Struthio camelus: one gene and its partner. The protein of the gene in region 2 binds, or shares a complex with, the protein of the main gene of each other region. Links are inferred from orthologs where the notes say so. Each region holds a gene or a part of one and is shown on either strand. Other genes may lie near its edges.

Region 1 (8,084 bases), on a different chromosome or scaffold from region 2:
GCCTGTTGTTATGACAGGATTGAAAGGGTCTTCAGGAACTGTAGTCACAGCGTTCATTCCCCGTGAAGGCACTCATTTCAGTACACACAAGCACTTTTTGGAGCTGTGGCTCCCGAGTCAGTATTCGCTGCATCTCCCATGAGCGTATTTTCACTGCCCCCTAGTGCCTGTTCCTGCCCTCCCCCTTCAGCGTTGAACTGTCCCAGTACCTCCCAGAGAGGAGGAACTGAGCACAGGAGAAAGCACATGAGAGGGAACAGGTCTGATTGTGAAATGAAACTTCCGACACAGCTGTAGTTTGCAGACAGATGAACTGCCTCACATTTGTATACTGCATTGATATATAAATTGACCTGCAGTTCTTACATAAATATTAAGACCAAGGCAACGTTCCCACTAAACTCTGTAAAACATTAGGCAAAACTATACATCTTCCAAAAAGTGCAGCCATTCCAGCACTGGAACACCAGAATTTTCACTTCTGAGAGAAGCCACTATAGCTGTCTGCAGTTAAGCAGTCTCCTTCACCCAAATATTTCCAAGAATAGTCACGATAGGATACAGACTGCTGAAATACCCACATTCCAGTCACTTAAGCACTACAAGTGTCTTAACACACATGGAACAGTGACACATTGTGCGTAAGTTGTGCGTATCTTACAGCTTCATTTAGTAGTGCACAGGATCCTACTAATAGCTAGAGTAATTGCACTGCAAATTTAAGTGGAATGAGAACAAGCTCTACAGTCAGTTTAGGCATTGTTTGCTTTCTTCTCCGACTCTTCTTTCTTTGGATCCTGCTTCAGCTTGTAATCAGCCAAGGCGGCCTTGATTGCATCTTCAGCCAACACTACAAAGAAAACAAAACGAGGCCTTACAACTATTTCAAGAGAGGCGAGAAGTCATTTTGAACACAATATGCAGTAAAACCAGCAGCAGTAAACCCCACAGAAGTTAGCGTAGGAGTTTGAGAACAGGGTCAGTATTTTAGAAGCAGACAGTCAGGAGTCAGACCTTTTATTGTCACCAGTCTTCTGAGCTACACAAAACCCAAAAGATGACAGACTTGGAAACTTGTAATGTCACCCCAAAGCCCGAATATAAGCTACTTTCTCTTGCAGGCCAGCCTCAGTTGTTCCAGGTACAGGTATTTGATTTGGACAATAACATTTGGAAGCATCTGTGCTATTGCCAGAAGTCTTATTCCCACAAACTTGTCTTTGGACTTTAATAGCTTAGTCCTTTACTTACTAGAGCAGTGCAGTTTGACTGGAGGAAGGCAAAGTTCTTTAGCAATATCTGTATTCCTGATCTTCAAAGCTTCATCAACCTGAAACATACAGTTAGTGTGAAGATACTAGTCATCTGATAAATAATACAGGCTCCAAACGTATTTGTGAGAAGAGCGCTTTAAGGCTCCAGAGGCCAACAGAATCCACAAAGAATATCTCAACTGCCCCTGGCAGCAAAGGACGCTGGACAACACGCTAACACGAGAAAGACCCTCAACATCTATCCAGTTTTCTTCTGTGCCAGCCAAGTAACAATCTCAAGGAATGCCTCAAGCCAAGCAGCAGTGTTAACTAACCAAAACATGCTAGTGTTATGGACTGAACATGACTAAGGAATTGTTTTAAGTTTGTTTACCTTTTCCGCACAATACTGAAACCCATGAACTCACCAAAAAAAAAAGGGGGTAAGTAATCTGAAAAATGTGGTTTTAAAAGTTTTTTTCCAGATCTTGCAATCTGTTTTTCTTGCTGTATAATCCACAAAGCGTTTCTCTGCAAATTAGTGCAGGTTCTTGGAGGAGACAGCTACTGCCCCAGAAGCCAGGCCACTGACAAGGACAGAGTTCTCAGGCACAGCTTTCTAAGCTAGTACATTACATAGCACCACTTCTCCAGAGCGCTTTCCAGGCCTCCGCTTCTTCGGTGGCCCCAACACAGTGGGGCTTGAAACTTCAAACGCTTTCCACGGCACTGCCTCCACAGAGACCCTTACCGTTTTCCCTTTAACCCACTCCGTAGCCAGCGAACTGGAAGCGATGGCCGATCCGCAGCCGAACGTCTTGAAACGGGCATCGATGATCTTCCCGTTCTCGTCCACCTCCACCTGCGGGAACGTCGGCAGCAGCACCTCAGGGGCCGGCTCTGCCTCACCGGGCACCCCTGAACCACCCCTGGGGGGGGGGGGGGGGGGCAGCACCTGACTCACACCCATCCCCGGGGGAGCAGCGACAAGCCCTGCCTGGGCTCGGGGCGGGGGGGGGACAGACAGGACCAGGCCCGTCCCTGGGGCAGGCCAAACTGCAGCAGGCCTCGCTGCGGCCGAGGAGCCCCAAGGTCACAAGTCGGGGGGGGGGGGGGGGGGGGAAGAGGAGAAAAGAAGGGAAAGAGAAGAGAAGGGGAGGGGGGGAAAGGGGGGGGAAAGAGAAGAGAAGGGGGGGAAGGGGGGGGAAGGGGGGGAAAAGAGAAGAGAAGGGGGGAAAGGGGGGGGAAGGGGGGGAAGGGGGGGAAAAGAGAAGAGAAGGGGGGAAGGGGGGGAAGGGGGGGGAAGGGGGGGAAAAGAGAAGAGAAGGGGGGGAAGGGGGGGAAAAGAGAAGAGAAGGGGGGGAAGGGGGGGAAAAGAGAAGAGAAGGGGGGGAAGGGGGGGAAAAGAGAAGAGAAGGGGGGGAAGGGGGGGGAAGGGGGGGAAAAGAGAAGAGAAGGGGGGAAGGGGGGGGAAGGGGGGGAAAAGAGAAGAGAAGGGGGAAGGGGGGGGAAGGGGGGGAAAAGAGAAGGGGGAAGGGGGGGGAAGGGGGGGAAAAGAGAAGAGAAGGGGGAAGGGGGGGAAGGGGGGGAAAGGGGAAGGGGGGAAAGGGGGGGGGAAAGGGGGGGCCCTCCCCTCCCGCTCACCTGGAGCTTCATGACGTCCCCGCAGGCGGGGGCGCCCACCAGGCCGGTGCCCACGTTCTTGGCGTTGCGGTCGAGCGAGCCGACGTTGCGCGGGTTCTCGTAGTGGTCCACCACCTGCGGGCGGGCACCGCGTCACCAAAGCCCGTCGCCGCGGCGGCGGCGGCCCTCCTCCCCCCCACCCCGGTCCCGTCCCGTTGCCCCTCACCTTCTTGTGGTAGCCCAACCTCGCCGCCGCCTCGCCGCGCCCGGGCCGCAGCAGCGCGGCCCCCGCCGCCCTCAGCGCCGCCATCTTGGTCCGCGCGGGGGCGGGTCGCGCCGCGCCGCCCTTTTATCGTGTGGCGGCGGGAGGGGGCGGGGCCGCGGGGCGCTGCGCGGGCGGCCGCGCTCCTCACGGGCCTGGGCCAGCGGCCTGGCAGAAGCGGGGCGGGCGGGCCGTGCCTGGCGGCTCCCGGCGAGCCCCTTCCCCTCTCGGCTGTCGTCTCTCCCCGGACGCTGGCTCTGGCCCACGCTTCGGTGCACCCCCCCCCCAAGTACTCAGCCGACGGTTACGTTGCCGGCGGTTCCCCCAGCCCCTCCGCGCCCCCTCGCAGGAGGCTCCTCAGGTGCCGTCAGGTCGCCCCGTCCGCCGCTGTTTCCGCGGCATGGCGGGGCTGGTGCCGGGAGAGGCGCGCGGTGTGGCAGCCTGGCGGAGGGCGCGGGGGACGCGTGCTCGGGCAAGATAGGCGGCCGAGCCCACGCGAACGTTATCTGGCCGCCTCGGGCAGCGCGCCGGTGATGTAACCCGGACGCGAGGAAAGCCATCTCGTAAACAGAGGGAACGCTTTGGGCCGTCTTCAAGAACCCTAACGCTGTCACTAAAACGGATGAACAGTAGCTCGGGGTGTTTTTTTTTTTTTATTTTTTCGGCCGCGAAGTGTGGCGCAGCAGCCGTTGGCGGCCGGGGCGGGGTTGGGCTCCCCGCCAGCCACCGCCACACTCAACATGGCGGACCGGCGGCGCACGCGCGCTCCGGGCCCGCGCCGACCTTCTCGGAGGCCCCCCGGCGGCCAGGGCCCGAGGTGGCCGCAGCGATGCCTGCGCCTCGCAGCAGCCGGCAAGCGGGACGGCCCGGAGTCGCTCGGCCGGGAGCGGTGCCGGTGCGCGGCGGAGCGCGGGGCCCTGCGGGCGGCGGCTCGCCCCTCTCCCCGCGGGGTTTGCCCGGCGGCAGGGCGTGACGGCGGCTTAGGCGCGGCGCGGGCAGCCCCGGCGGCTGGCGGAGCGGCGCTGGCTGCGAAGGGAGCTGCATAAGATGGCGGCGGCGGGAGCCGAGGCGGCTGCAGCGGCGGCGGTGGAAGAGGAGGAGGAAGAGGAGAAGCGGTTACCGGAGGGCGATCCCGAGTCGGGTGGCGACTCGGAGGACGGGGGCGACTCGGACTCGTCGGGCGACGGGGAGGATGAGGAGAAGGAGAACGAGGCCGAGATCCAGCGGCTGGAGGAGCAGGTGAGGCCTGCGGGAGCTGGCGGCGTGTGAGGAGGGGGCGGCGGCGGCGGGGCAGCTCCTCGGCCCGGCGCCGGCGGGGGAGCGGCGCAGGCCTCGCCGCCCGGGCCGGCCCCTGCGCGGGCGGCCCGCCTCCGCCGCACGCGTTGCCATGAGAGACGCGGCGGCCGCGGGCGGCCCGGCGGAGAGGGGCGGCCGCGCCGGGGCTCGTCCCTGGGAACTGGCGCCTTCCCTCTAGGCAAGCAGGGCGCGGAGCCCCCCTGCGCGCTGACTTTCCCTTTTGTGGCTAACGAAACATCCGCAGCGATGCTGGGAAAAAAAAAATCTAGGGTCGCTCATGTAGCGCGGTGCTGAGATTCTGTTTAGACAGGAGTATTTGGAGTCTAAAGTATGCGTGTGGAGGGGGGATTGTTTGTTTTTTGGGGGGGAGGGGAAGGTTTTTTCAAAAAGACTGCGAACGAGAGTCTTGGTGAATGAACAGCTTTATTCATCGAAAAAGCTCTTCTTGCTGCCCGCGTGTTTTGTTTGTTTGTTTTTGCCATGGAAGAAACAAAAACGCTTTGAAAACCTTTCCTTACTGAAGAAGGCTTTGTGGTCAATATCTGCTTTGTGTACGGATGGTGACATTGAGGTTGTTTAGGTGTGTGCTGTCGCCTTTTGCAATGGCAATGATGTCTTTGGTCAGTTTTTGCAGCTAGTGGTCCTGTGCTTCTGACCCCAGAGTATGCGCTATTCAACAGTAAATTAGCCCTAAAAACTTAACTTTAAAGGTTTGCCTAACTTGGCAGTTTTTTATGAATTCTCTGAATGGAAAGTATCTCGCAATTGGTAGCGAAGTTTGGCACTATCTGTAGGAAGGTAGGTGCTGTATCTCTTGTGTGAACAGATGATGACATTCATATGCTTGGAAAGAAGGTATGGTGTTCTGTTCTGCTAAGCGTTTTTTGACTTCTACGTGTCCATCACTTAACAGTTCTTGAAAAAGGCTTTTTTTTTTTTTTTTTTTTTTTAAAGCTTTCTATCAATGCTTTTGACTACAACTGTCACTTGGATCTGATAAAACTGCTCCGCCAGGAGGGAGAGCTGGTAAAGCTCAGAAGAGCTCGTCAGAAGATGAGTGAACTCTTCCCGCTTACTGAAGGTATAGAACGTGTTCAGCTAATGTTGCAGCTACTGCTATTTAAGCACCATCTGCGTGAAATGTAGTAGTGAAATGTTTCAGTATTCAGTTTCAGTAGTGAAATAGTCAGGTCTCGACACTGAAGTTTCAGACCAAAGAAGCCCAAAAGAGCAGACTGGGGACTCTTTAAACTCTGAGCAGTGTTGGTGTTGATGGCCAGCGTTGACCTTGGGCTCTGGCAGATGCACTGCAGGAATTCAAATTTTTACCGCTTGCAACTGCCTGTGCTGTCCTCTGCCAGAGGTTACTGCTGTATAACGGAACTGGTGGGAGGGTACGTGTCCATGTTTGTGCGCGCATGCATGCGTGCCCAGCTACTCCAGTTTATGGCCTGTTAGCCTAAGCTGCTGGAGAAGATGACTTGCTGCCAGGGTGTGAGCTGCTGCAGCCCAGGAGCAGGCGCGTGTTTGCTTGTGCTCGCTTTGCTATGGGGTTGGTAACATACAGCTGAGGGATGGCGGTACGGAAATGGCTGTAGTCATTTTTTCAGTGAATGTGACTCAGAGCCTAGACAGACTGTCAAAAGTTAATATTTTTGTTTCCTTCCTGTGCAATTTATGTTAGTGGAAGCTGTAGATAGCCCTTGGTGTGTGTGTCTTTCCCCCCCCCCCCCCCCTTTTTAAATTCGTAACAAATTCCGAGGTGGTATAAACATTGCAGAGGCTGTTCTGCCACTTTCCTTTTAGCAAAGGCAGGGGAAGATTTCCCCTTTATGTTTCAGGAACTCTGCAGCCTGTAGTGCTGGTTACTGGTGGCGGGGGTGGTGCTTGTTGTTGTTGTTACTTTTTTGTTCTTAAAGTTTCAGGAAAGATATATCTCTTTATGCCTCTTTGGTTGCTGGCACCACGCTGATCTTCTGCCCAAGGTGTTGATGAGTCACTGTTTGCATCTTCTGCTTTCTTAAAATACAAATGTACTTTTTTAGTACCAAGTTGGAAAAGTCTGTACCGGACTTCTCATTTAAATTAAGCCTGAGTAATTGTGGAGGCCAAACTCGCTCTCTTCTCCCCCTTCCCTCCCTCTGTTTTTTTAAGGAATGTGACTTAAAATCTGTCCACAATATTCAACAAGTGGGTTTGACTTAATCTTTCTGAATGCTGGTGATGCATTCTAAACTTCTTGCTTTCAGAAATTTGGCTGGACTGGTTGAAGGATGAGATAAAAATGGCTTCTGAAAGCTCTGAGCGAGAGAAAGTTTATGAGCTGTTTGAGAGAGCCGTGAAGGACTACATCTGTAAGTTGTTAATATATCCTACAAAAGGTGTAGTGTTGCATTTGGGTTATGGCTTTCCTTTTCCAGGAGAGTTTCTTCCTTTTCCTGTTGCTGTTATAATGCAGAAAATGGATCAAAATATTAGTATGAAATAGTCCTCAGTTTTTCTGTAGCAAAGCAATTAACAAGTCTTGGCTTTAAATGGCCTTCATGTACCACTGCAGTCTAAGGTTTTCTAGAAAGATGTTGCAAAAAATTGTAAATGCTTTTTTCACATTTCTCTGATTTCAAAAAGCAGCAAATATTATGCATACTTTGCTGGCTTTTCATCAACTTTTTACCTGCAGACAGTGCCTCCTGTGTTACCCATTAAGGGTTCTTTAGCTCTTCCTTTTTGGAAGAAGAATGCTTTTAAAAGGCTGGCTTCTGCAGTCATTTTCTGTGTTGCTTACTGCTGCCCTTACTGTTGTTTCCACTGTGTGACAGCTCTTTCGGAACAGGTCGCAGATACTGCCTTGGAGACGGCATTCTCAAAACCCTGCTAAATAGGTGACTCTTGCCATGCTGCAGTGCTAGTGCCTTTTCATTAAGAAGGAGAGAAGTGTGTGGGGCCTTGTCTTTCCACTTGTCAGGACCTCACTGCTGCCGTGTGCCGAGCTGAAGCACTGAAGAATCTTATTCTTTTGGGGTGTTGTGGTGACAATCCCCTGAAAACAGGTAGCCTGAAATGAGTAGTAGAGGGAGGACATGGTAGCATTGGAGGAAAATCACTTGCAGAAGCTATACATAAAGTGTCACGTTACTGCACCAGCGCAGCTGACGCTGCAGGGTGTTTTTGATGGTTCAGGAAGAAGGACTGTAGAGACCCATCTGCTGAATGGGTTGTGCTTAGGGTTTGGAAAGACTCTTTTTTTGGAATTTGAGTTTTGCAGTGTAACATCTGTTGGTTGATCATCTCTACTAGGGTCCTTGATTTGCTCGAGGACTGCTATTGGAGGGATGGGTGCTGGGCAAGCTAAGGCCATTCTGGCACCTCCTCCTCGCCTTCATAATTATGCTGCTTAAGCAGTGGCTGAACAGGCAGTTATGGGAGTCTAGAAAGAGGACCTACCTTCATCTCTGACTTCTCTAGGAGTGTGACAGCTTCGTGGTCCCAGCTCTGTGCACGTGCTCGAGAGAAGTGCTGTCGGGCACTCTTGATGTACCTCTTTAATGTAGCTTGCATGCCAGAGGTGGCAAATGGAGTCTGTCAGTGCCAGTAATGACCACAATGGTGACCTCTTTCAGAAGAGAAATTTTTAGCTGCTGGTGCTGATA
Region 2 (8,017 bases):
AAGTGGGTAAACAGTACTTGTAACATGTAAAGGCTGTATAGGTGCTGGTTCAGTTTCTTCGGTTAATACTTCTGACTAGCGCAGGCTAACCTGTGCTGCTTTTAAACAGAAACACAGACCACTGCAACATGATGGAAGCAAAGATGAGGTTTGTTTCAGAAGGCAAGTAACAGGAGACTGCAGCACTGAACGTAGCATAGTGTTTGCTAGAGGCATTGCTATAGCTGCTAGTGGATGGTAAGTAGCAATACAACATGTTTTCTCTGTGAGGTTTTGACCAGTTTATAAAATCCATTAAGGAAGGTTGGAGAAAAAGACCATGCCTGCAGCATACAGGTTGTTTGGTGGCACTGCTTGCTTTCATTGATGATGCCCCCTTCCTTGGTAAAGCAAATGGAAAAAACAGCTTTGAGTTCCCCTTACTGACAGCAGTAGCAACTGGCACTGCTCTATACTTCCTTTCTCCTTCTGTGGAAGGGCTGTAGGTTGGAGCATATCTTGCTGCACCCTACAGAACTGTACGGGCCTTCTGTGTGGCAGAACTGCGAAAGGCAGTATATTCCAGCTGCGCTCTTCTCCTTACTATTACATTAAGATACTAACTTACAGAAGAGCTGATTCCCCACAGCACAGACTATGCTAGTATTGATGGGAGGCATAGCAAATGTTTCTCACAGTCTGATAATGAAGTTAAATCTCCTCTGTTTACAATGCTGAGTCATCTTTGTGACTTCTCCCAAAATACCAAACACTTTCAGCTGTCATGCAACAGGAACTATTTTCTCTTACCACCAATTTAATGATTTCCAAATCTTATGACTGCATTTGCAACTGTTCTGTGTTCTTTCCTACTCAGCTGGGGGCATGTGATTCCAGCCTGTCAGAGGAAGAAGTCCCAAAAGCAGTAGTTTGCCCTCAGCAAGTTAAAGGACTTGCCTAACATCCCCAATAGGGAGTTGGTTTTCCTGTACTTTCAGTAAGGGAAAGTCACCCTAGAGCTGGGGTATTTACAACCACACATCAGAAAGGTGAGCTGCCCAAGTAGCAAAGGGAAAAAGCATTTACTATTCTTAGCCTATGAAATATGAACTGTAACACAGTACAAAGGGTTATTAGGAGGTCTCACTTTTATGGGAGTAAGGGAAGTGAGGAAAACATTTGGTAAAAAGCAAGCTTACAATCAACAAAGCGAGTAGGATAATGCTTCACAATTTCACATGAGGAGCACTCAAAATTCCAGGTATCTAAAGATTTTATTATAGTACAGAGGAAGAACGGCTGGACAAGGACTCTTCAGGTTAAAAAACCCAAGCTCCAAGTTAGCAGCGGATTCCCATACCAATAGCCATGAACGTCCCAAACGTCCCACCGCTTTGCATCATTGTTTTGCCAACTCCACCCATCAGTTCTCGTCCTCTCATGCCAATCCTGAGAGAAAAGAAAATGTAAAAATTGTACAGAAGTTGAAGCCCTGACAGGTGACGGACACACACAGAGGTGAAAACGTTTGACACAACCAGCTGATTATCACAAGTGGCCAAAAATCAATGTTTAAATTTAAATTGGTAATTTAAAGTGGTATCTTCAAGTTTCACAAAGACTGGCTGCGCTGCACTGTGTCTGACCTACTGCAAAGAAAAGCAGAGCTGTTTTCTTTGAGACACTTCAGTGACTCACTCCAGTGGTCCACGTGTATTTTCTTCTGTGGCTGTACTAGCTGACCCTGTACCCTCCTGCCCTGCCGTTTCCTTGTGTCAGCATAGGGATCTGCGGGGCTGTGCATGAGGGACCCGCTCAAGACAAACGTAACAATGTTTCCCCCTCAGCTTGTCCAAGCACTTCCATTCCCTGACTCCACAAATGGATGTGCTGACAACTGGTAGCATGCTGCAGAAAGAGGAAAAGAAAATGGGAAAAAGAGGAGCGGGAAAGGCTTTAACTGCTAGTGCCCCACGCATCCTTATTTTGGGGAAACAAAGCTTAGTTCTGGCTGCATATTTGACCTGCCAGGGAATAAAAAGGATCTGAACTGTTGAATCTTAGTCCTGTCTGGCTATATAGGCAGTAGTTTTAATACCATCAACTTGGAAACCACGTTGTCAACTAATTTCCCATGTACCACTGACACTGTATTTTTAATATGAGAGAAATTTAAAAGGCCTAGAAGTCTTCAGATGCGCTTTTGTTCTCCTGTTCACATTTATTTAAGGTTGGACCAAAAAAGTGAACTGTTTCTTAGAAAGTTCTTGAAATACTTGGCTTTTAAGCGCGGCAGGGAGTGTAGTGTCTAAGGAATTCTGTGTACGGCTTTTCAAAACAAAGATTTTTCCAGAACAATGGCACAACAGAAGTAACGTAGCTGCGTTCCATTTTTCAAGTATTACAGACCCACTGTCACTGCTTCTTTATACCATACAAAATATATTTGCTACTAGCACAGTACCATTTACAAACATGCTGCAGGATCTGAGAGGGATCAGAACATTTTTAAATTTAAATGTTAAGATTAGATTTTGTGCCTTTTCCTCCTTTTCAGGGGCACTACAAAATTATCACCCATTTTTAATCACAGGTTAAAAAATCTCAAGCACAAGGAGTTGTGCAAAATATTAGAGTTTACTTTAGTAACTCTTTTTAATGGATGATGTGTACCAAAGCCAGCCAGAAAGTAGCACAAGAGGTAACTCGGCCGAGCAGAGACCATTCTTTGTTTCTGTGTTGGCATGCTGGATAGCATAAGGGGCACTCGGGCTATTACCTCTCCCCAGTTTACGATAGGACTGTGCCACTGACAGCCACCAATTCAGACTGGGCTCCTGCATTCAAGACTCCAGGTCAATAAGATAACTACGTCCATGCAGGGGGTGCAGGGAAACGGGACACGCAAATCAAGCAAGATACAGATCACTGAGAGCTTGCAGAATACCTCAGACAATCTTTAGAGCTAAGACATGGCCGTGTACGCACTGCCGTGGGTCCAGATCATTCGTTCGGCTCTGTTTGAAACTGAACGGGGAATATTTCTCTCTGGCTGTATCGTTACCTGTCCAGGAAAGCCATTTCTGCGACATACCTGAGGCAGGAAAACGTGCCAAACAGCGCTCCTGCTGCCATGCCTACTGCAAAGCCCATCATGAAACCCATTTTTATTCTGTCAAAGCAGTTGGGCTGCGATTGCCCATATGGGCCCACAGTCACAGGCATCTAGAAAAGAAAGCACAAAAGAAAACCACAAAAGGAACATGGATCTACCACTTTGTCTAATCTACTTCTAGAACCAAATTGGGCTGGATAGCAGCAGTTGTGAGGTCCTTACGTACCAGAGCCTCTCACTACTGTAGTACCGTAGGCAAACTGACTAGCTGGCAGCCCAGGCAGGTCACTGAACTGGAACGGGATTGCAGCCTGTCAGTTTATTAGCAAAATACACTGGAAAGGCCCAGTTCTAGTGCCCTGGGTTTTCCCTCTCTCTGCAACTCGGAGCAGAAGACACGCTGTAGGAAGGAAGTTTTTAAACTTGCTTGCTCACTTAACAAATAGGAAACAATAGCAAAGAAACGCCAATACCTTGATGACAGCCCTGTTTTGCCGTCAGCAAGCCTCTGTGAAAGCCACTATGTTTCTGATAACTAGTTTGAGGTCCCTCACTCGGGACCGTCTGTAAAGCCCTTCTCTAGGGGCTGGAGCGCACTTCTGTTTGGTGTCTCCCAACGAACAGGCGGGGCCCCCTCACAACGCCTCTGCCACGAGGCTTGCTGTCCCAAGGTGTTTTCACCTGGGGCTTTTCCCTGTACAGTTCGGAGAGCAGAGAAACGGGAAAAAACGAGTCTGTGCTACGGGAGTCCAGCACGAGGACGTCTAAGGGAGCAGCAGCTCCCGTGACCAACCCCCGCGTCCAACACGCCTTGCACGGCCGTTCAGGGTCGCACAAACTGCCAACTTGCTGCTCGGAGCAGCGGCGCTGCGCTCTTCTCACTAGTAACGTCTCTAACCTTCCGGAGCAGCTACTTTCAAGAAAGAACAAAACTGGGCTTTCACCACGTCCATGCTGCACCGTTTTAGCCGGGCTGCGCACACCACGATCAGTAACTCATAGCAGAGGCCTCCCCAGCAGTCCCGTGACACCACGAGCTTTCCAAAAGGGCTGAAACAACTGGGATCTTACGCTATTTCGCAAAACAGAAACAGACTCGCTATTTCTCTCCTGACACGCTGCTGAAACCTCTAGTTTCCCTGTCATCACCCGGGCTTGAACGCGCAGAACCGCGTTACTAAAACAGCGAGGCTCGCAAGGCCTCCCTGGGGGGCGCCGCCGCTCGCAGGAGAGGCTGGATAAACCGGAAAGCAGGAGCCTGCTGCCAGCCTCCCGCCCCTTCGCCTAACGAAACGGTGTCGCGGCCGCGACCGGCACCCGGGCGGCGAAGTCCTTTAACCCGGAGCTCGCTCGCCCCCGCCGCGGGCTTCCAGCCGCGCGTCCGGCCTCCGCGCCTGGCGGGGCGGCTCCCGGCCGCCAGCGGCCCCCGGCCAGCCCCGAGCGCCCGGAGAGGCGGCACCCACCCCCCCCGACCCCCCCGGCCCCGGCCAGCCCCGAGCGCCCGGAGAGGCGGCACCCACCCCCCCCGCCCCCGCCCCCGGCCAGCCCCGAGCGCCCGGAGAGGCGGCCCCCGCCGCCCCGGCCCGGCCCCCGCCGCCGCCGCCCCCACCCCCCGCCGCCGCCGCCCCCACCCCCCCCCCGGCCCGGGCCGACGCTTGCTGTCGAGGCGCCGCTGAGGCCCGGCGGCCCCGGCCGCGTCGCAGCGGCACCACCAGCGACGCCGCCCGCGCAGGGCTGAGCGGCCCAGCCGTACCTCGCCCCTCGCTCGCCTCGGTGCGCCCTCCGCCTCCTGCCGCTCGGGCCTCCCGCTTCCGGCGCGCTCCGTGGCACTCCCGGAAGGGGCGGGCGGAGGGGCCGGGAGCTGCGGCGCGGGCGGGGCCGCTTCCGCCTGCGCCCCGCAGCCGCGCGCCGCCATGCTGGTGTGGCGGCGCCTGGCGGCCCTGCGGGCGGCCCGCGGCCCCGCGGCCCGGCGGCTCTCGGCGGCAGCGGCGGCAGCGGAGCCGGCAGCGGGACGCGGTAAGGCCGGGGCTGCGGCGGGGAGGGCGGCGGCGCGCGGGGCCGGAGCGGGCGCTGCGTGCCCGGCGGCCGGCGCCCCATGGCGGCTCTCCCTCTCCGCAGGGCAACGCGGCGATGGAGGCGGCGCCCTGCGGCCGCTGTACATGGACGTCCAGGCCACCACCCCGCTGGTGCGTGCCGGGCCGCGGTCTGCGCCTCGCCGCCTGGGAGCCGGCCCCCGCCCGGCCCTGCGCACGCTTCGCACGGGGCAGGAAAGGCGGCGGGCGCCGAGGGAGACGCTCCCTGCCCTTGTGTTTCCTTCTTTTCCTGCGGCGCTCGCTTCCTGAGCTTGAAGCGCTTACTGCGTTTCTTCTGACGGCTGCTGCTCGCCAGCATCGTTTACAATGAATTGCGGTTGACAAACGTTTTTATTTTGGTAACGGAGGAAGTCTCGGTCATCCGGGAAAAGTCTTTGTAGTGCCATGACGACAGTCTTGTCCATCATCTACTCTTACACGTTTCCCAGGGGATTTTAGAGACTTAGTGCATCTTCTTAACGTTTTGTGGATGCAAGATGTGGTAACGAGAGGAGTCATGTTACAGCTTAAACTAAAACTAGCCGCGGTGGGCGTTGTTTGGAGGAGAGATGAGGAAGTAATATAACTAACTTTTTTTGTTTTTTGGTGTAATTTCTATGAGTTGTTAAGATTGTGTATCCCTTCTCCTCAGCAAGTCCAGTTCTTCTGAGATCATCTCGGTACAGACCGAGGTTGCCAGATTACTTGTTGTGTTTGCCAGATCCTTGCAGGGCATGTTGTATGGAGTACGTGCAATGACCTTAAGTTGTCCCGGTCTGGCCTGAAATGAAGAGAGGCACTAGAGCAGAAGTGCTAGTTCTGGGCTATAAGGAACGGTACTTGTGCCTAGAGAGGAAGGAAATGCGCCTCATTTTCAGTTTTTAAGCTTGAGCTGTTTGTGTCCTGCAGGATCCTAGAGTTCTGGACAGCATGCTTCCTTATCTGATGACCTACTATGGTAACCCTCATTCCAGGACTCATGCCTATGGGTGGGAGAGTGAGGCTGCCATGGAAAAAGCAAGACGGGTGAGTGCCTTCAGCACTCCAAAGGTTCACGGTTTTCCTGCTGGTGAAGAAATCGAATTTAAAAAGAAAATCAAAAGCAAGAAAAAACTGTTTTATTTAGCTGTTTCTCTGTGCGCTGGATTTAGCAACCTCATTTCCTTTAGTATGCTTCTGCAGTAACTGGGCTAATTTCATGCTTTATGATTATAAATTGATAAGATTTTTTTCTCCTAATCTTAGTTATGGGTCTTTGTGGCTTATTTTGGATGTAGTACTTACTCGTTTTCACATTTTAAACTATTATTCTTTTATGAGAAGCTAATGCTTAATACCATTACTAATGTTGACTTTGATTTCCTTATATATTCTGTATTAATGGAGATATTTAGACTGTTGTATCTGTAGTGCCGTTTTGTTAGGCACTGGCTATAATTGTTTCGAGGCTCAAGACTGTGTTCTAGAAAACACTTTGTGTTTTTCATATGGTGAATTCATTGCATGTTAGAATAACAAATCATATCTGTGTTTCTCTTTAAACAGCAAGTGGCAGATTTAATAGGAGCGGATCACAGAGAAATTATTTTTACCAGTGGTGCTACAGAATCAAATAATATGGCAATTAAGGTAAAAGGTTTATACTGGTGGCTGTTTAGTACAGCTGTTATTGAATCTGTAAGGGCTTTGTGTCACAGATCATGCTGTTAAGAACCATACACACCTCTCAACAGTTTAAGTGTTAATTTGTTGACCTTGTTAGCATGTGTTTGTTTTATCACTGTTTGTTTTATCACTTGCCATATTCTGCTAGATAGATGGAAGAAATATTGGGATGGCATGCTCTCTAGGGCATGGTTTTGAGGGCAGGGTATAACATGTGATGTTTTGTTTTCTTCTAAAAATGAGCTTATGTGATGGGATTTGTTCTCTGGTGAAAAGCACCTCAGCCTTCTGCTATTGATGTAATTAGTCCATAAAATTCTTTAGGTTGACAGTTTTCCATTCTGATGCTAATTTAAAGATATTAGAATTTTTTGGTTAGATCTGAACAAAATTAAAATTAGTTCATGGTATTTTTTTGTTTTTTTTTTTTGTTTTTATTTTAACTGGAGATAAAATGTATGTCTATCTTACGTGCACTAAGCACAGTACTTCTGCTTGCACGATTAAAACATTTATCGTGAAGTACGGCAGAGATGCTGATTATGAACTTTTTTCTGACTAAGACTAGTTAACATTTTAACCTTTAGCGTAGTTGTATGTGGCTGTTCAGATTTTTCATTCCATATGATTTCATAAGTTTTTAAAAAAAGGGTTTCTATTGATAAAAAATATGTAGAATTTTTATCTAACAACTTTTCAGACTTTTTTGAAAACTGAGATGCTTTTGAAAAATGAATCGTGATGCAAGTATCTAGTGTAAATGACATGTTATTGCCTTTTAGATTCATGACTTTGGGGCAGAGAAGATTGAAATGGAATAATGTCTGAATTGTAGTTTTACAGCATAGTTGAGTAATTAATTGGAAAAGAAAAATTTTCTTCCTCTGAGTCAAAGTTACCTTCTGGCTTCCTCTGAGTAAACTGTAATGCTGCAGAATGGACTATTGCTAATTCTCTTGTTTGTTATGCATGAGTTGTTTCAGCCTGTACCGTGTAGTACTTGGTCTAGTTTCTTGTTTATGAGGATTTTATGTAAAGTTTGCTCTCTTCAGCAATTTAACAGCAAATTTCTTGTTTATGGATTGTGCATGACAGGGTGTTGCACGATTCTATAAATCCAGAAAGAAGCACATCATTACTACCCAAACAGAGCACAAGTGTGTGCTGGATTCTTGCCGTTCCCTGG

The links.
Region 1: the proteins of NFS1 (region 2) and ISCU are in contact, whole or in part, in a crystal structure (PDB 6W1D), measured with the Homo sapiens proteins. The link is inferred for Struthio camelus from reciprocal best matches to the Homo sapiens genes NFS1 and ISCU. Residues at the interface, in NP_066923.3 of Homo sapiens: Tyr360, Val361, Glu362, Glu364, Ser365, Leu367, Met368, Ala369, Lys371, Glu399, Asp400, His403, Ser404, His429, Arg432, Leu433, Glu435, Met436, Ser437, Pro438, Leu439, Glu441, Met442, Trp454, Thr455; in NP_998760.1 of Homo sapiens: Tyr35, Val40, His42, Tyr43, Glu44, Val49, Gly50, Ser51, Leu63, Val64, Gly65, Ala66, Pro67, Ala68, Cys69, Gly70, Val72, Lys74, Phe90, Lys91, Thr92, Phe93, Gly94, Cys95, Gly96, Ile99, Lys135.

Annotation. Positions count from the first base shown.
Region 1 is NC_090958.1:18,833,809-18,841,892, reverse strand, and holds ISCU (iron-sulfur cluster assembly enzyme ISCU), read right to left. Parts: upstream 3,235-8,084; 5' UTR 3,187-3,234; coding exon 3,103-3,186; intron 3,012-3,102; coding exon 2,898-3,011; intron 2,116-2,897; coding exon 2,005-2,115; intron 1,331-2,004; coding exon 1,252-1,330; intron 851-1,251; coding exon 753-850; 3' UTR 295-752; downstream 1-294. Other genes in the region: SART3 (squamous cell carcinoma antigen recognized by T-cells 3), read left to right, coding at 4,186-4,377, 5,389-5,515, 6,684-6,788.
Region 2 is NC_090959.1:1,433,122-1,441,138, forward strand, and holds the start of NFS1 (cysteine desulfurase), read left to right. Parts: upstream 1-5,007; coding exon 5,008-5,280; intron 5,281-5,316; exon of another isoform or gene 5,317-5,525; intron 5,526-6,075; coding exon 6,076-6,192; intron 6,193-6,711; coding exon 6,712-6,795; intron 6,796-7,926; coding exon 7,927-8,017. Other genes in the region: ROMO1 (reactive oxygen species modulator 1), read right to left, coding at 1,320-1,428, 3,074-3,204, 4,848-5,009.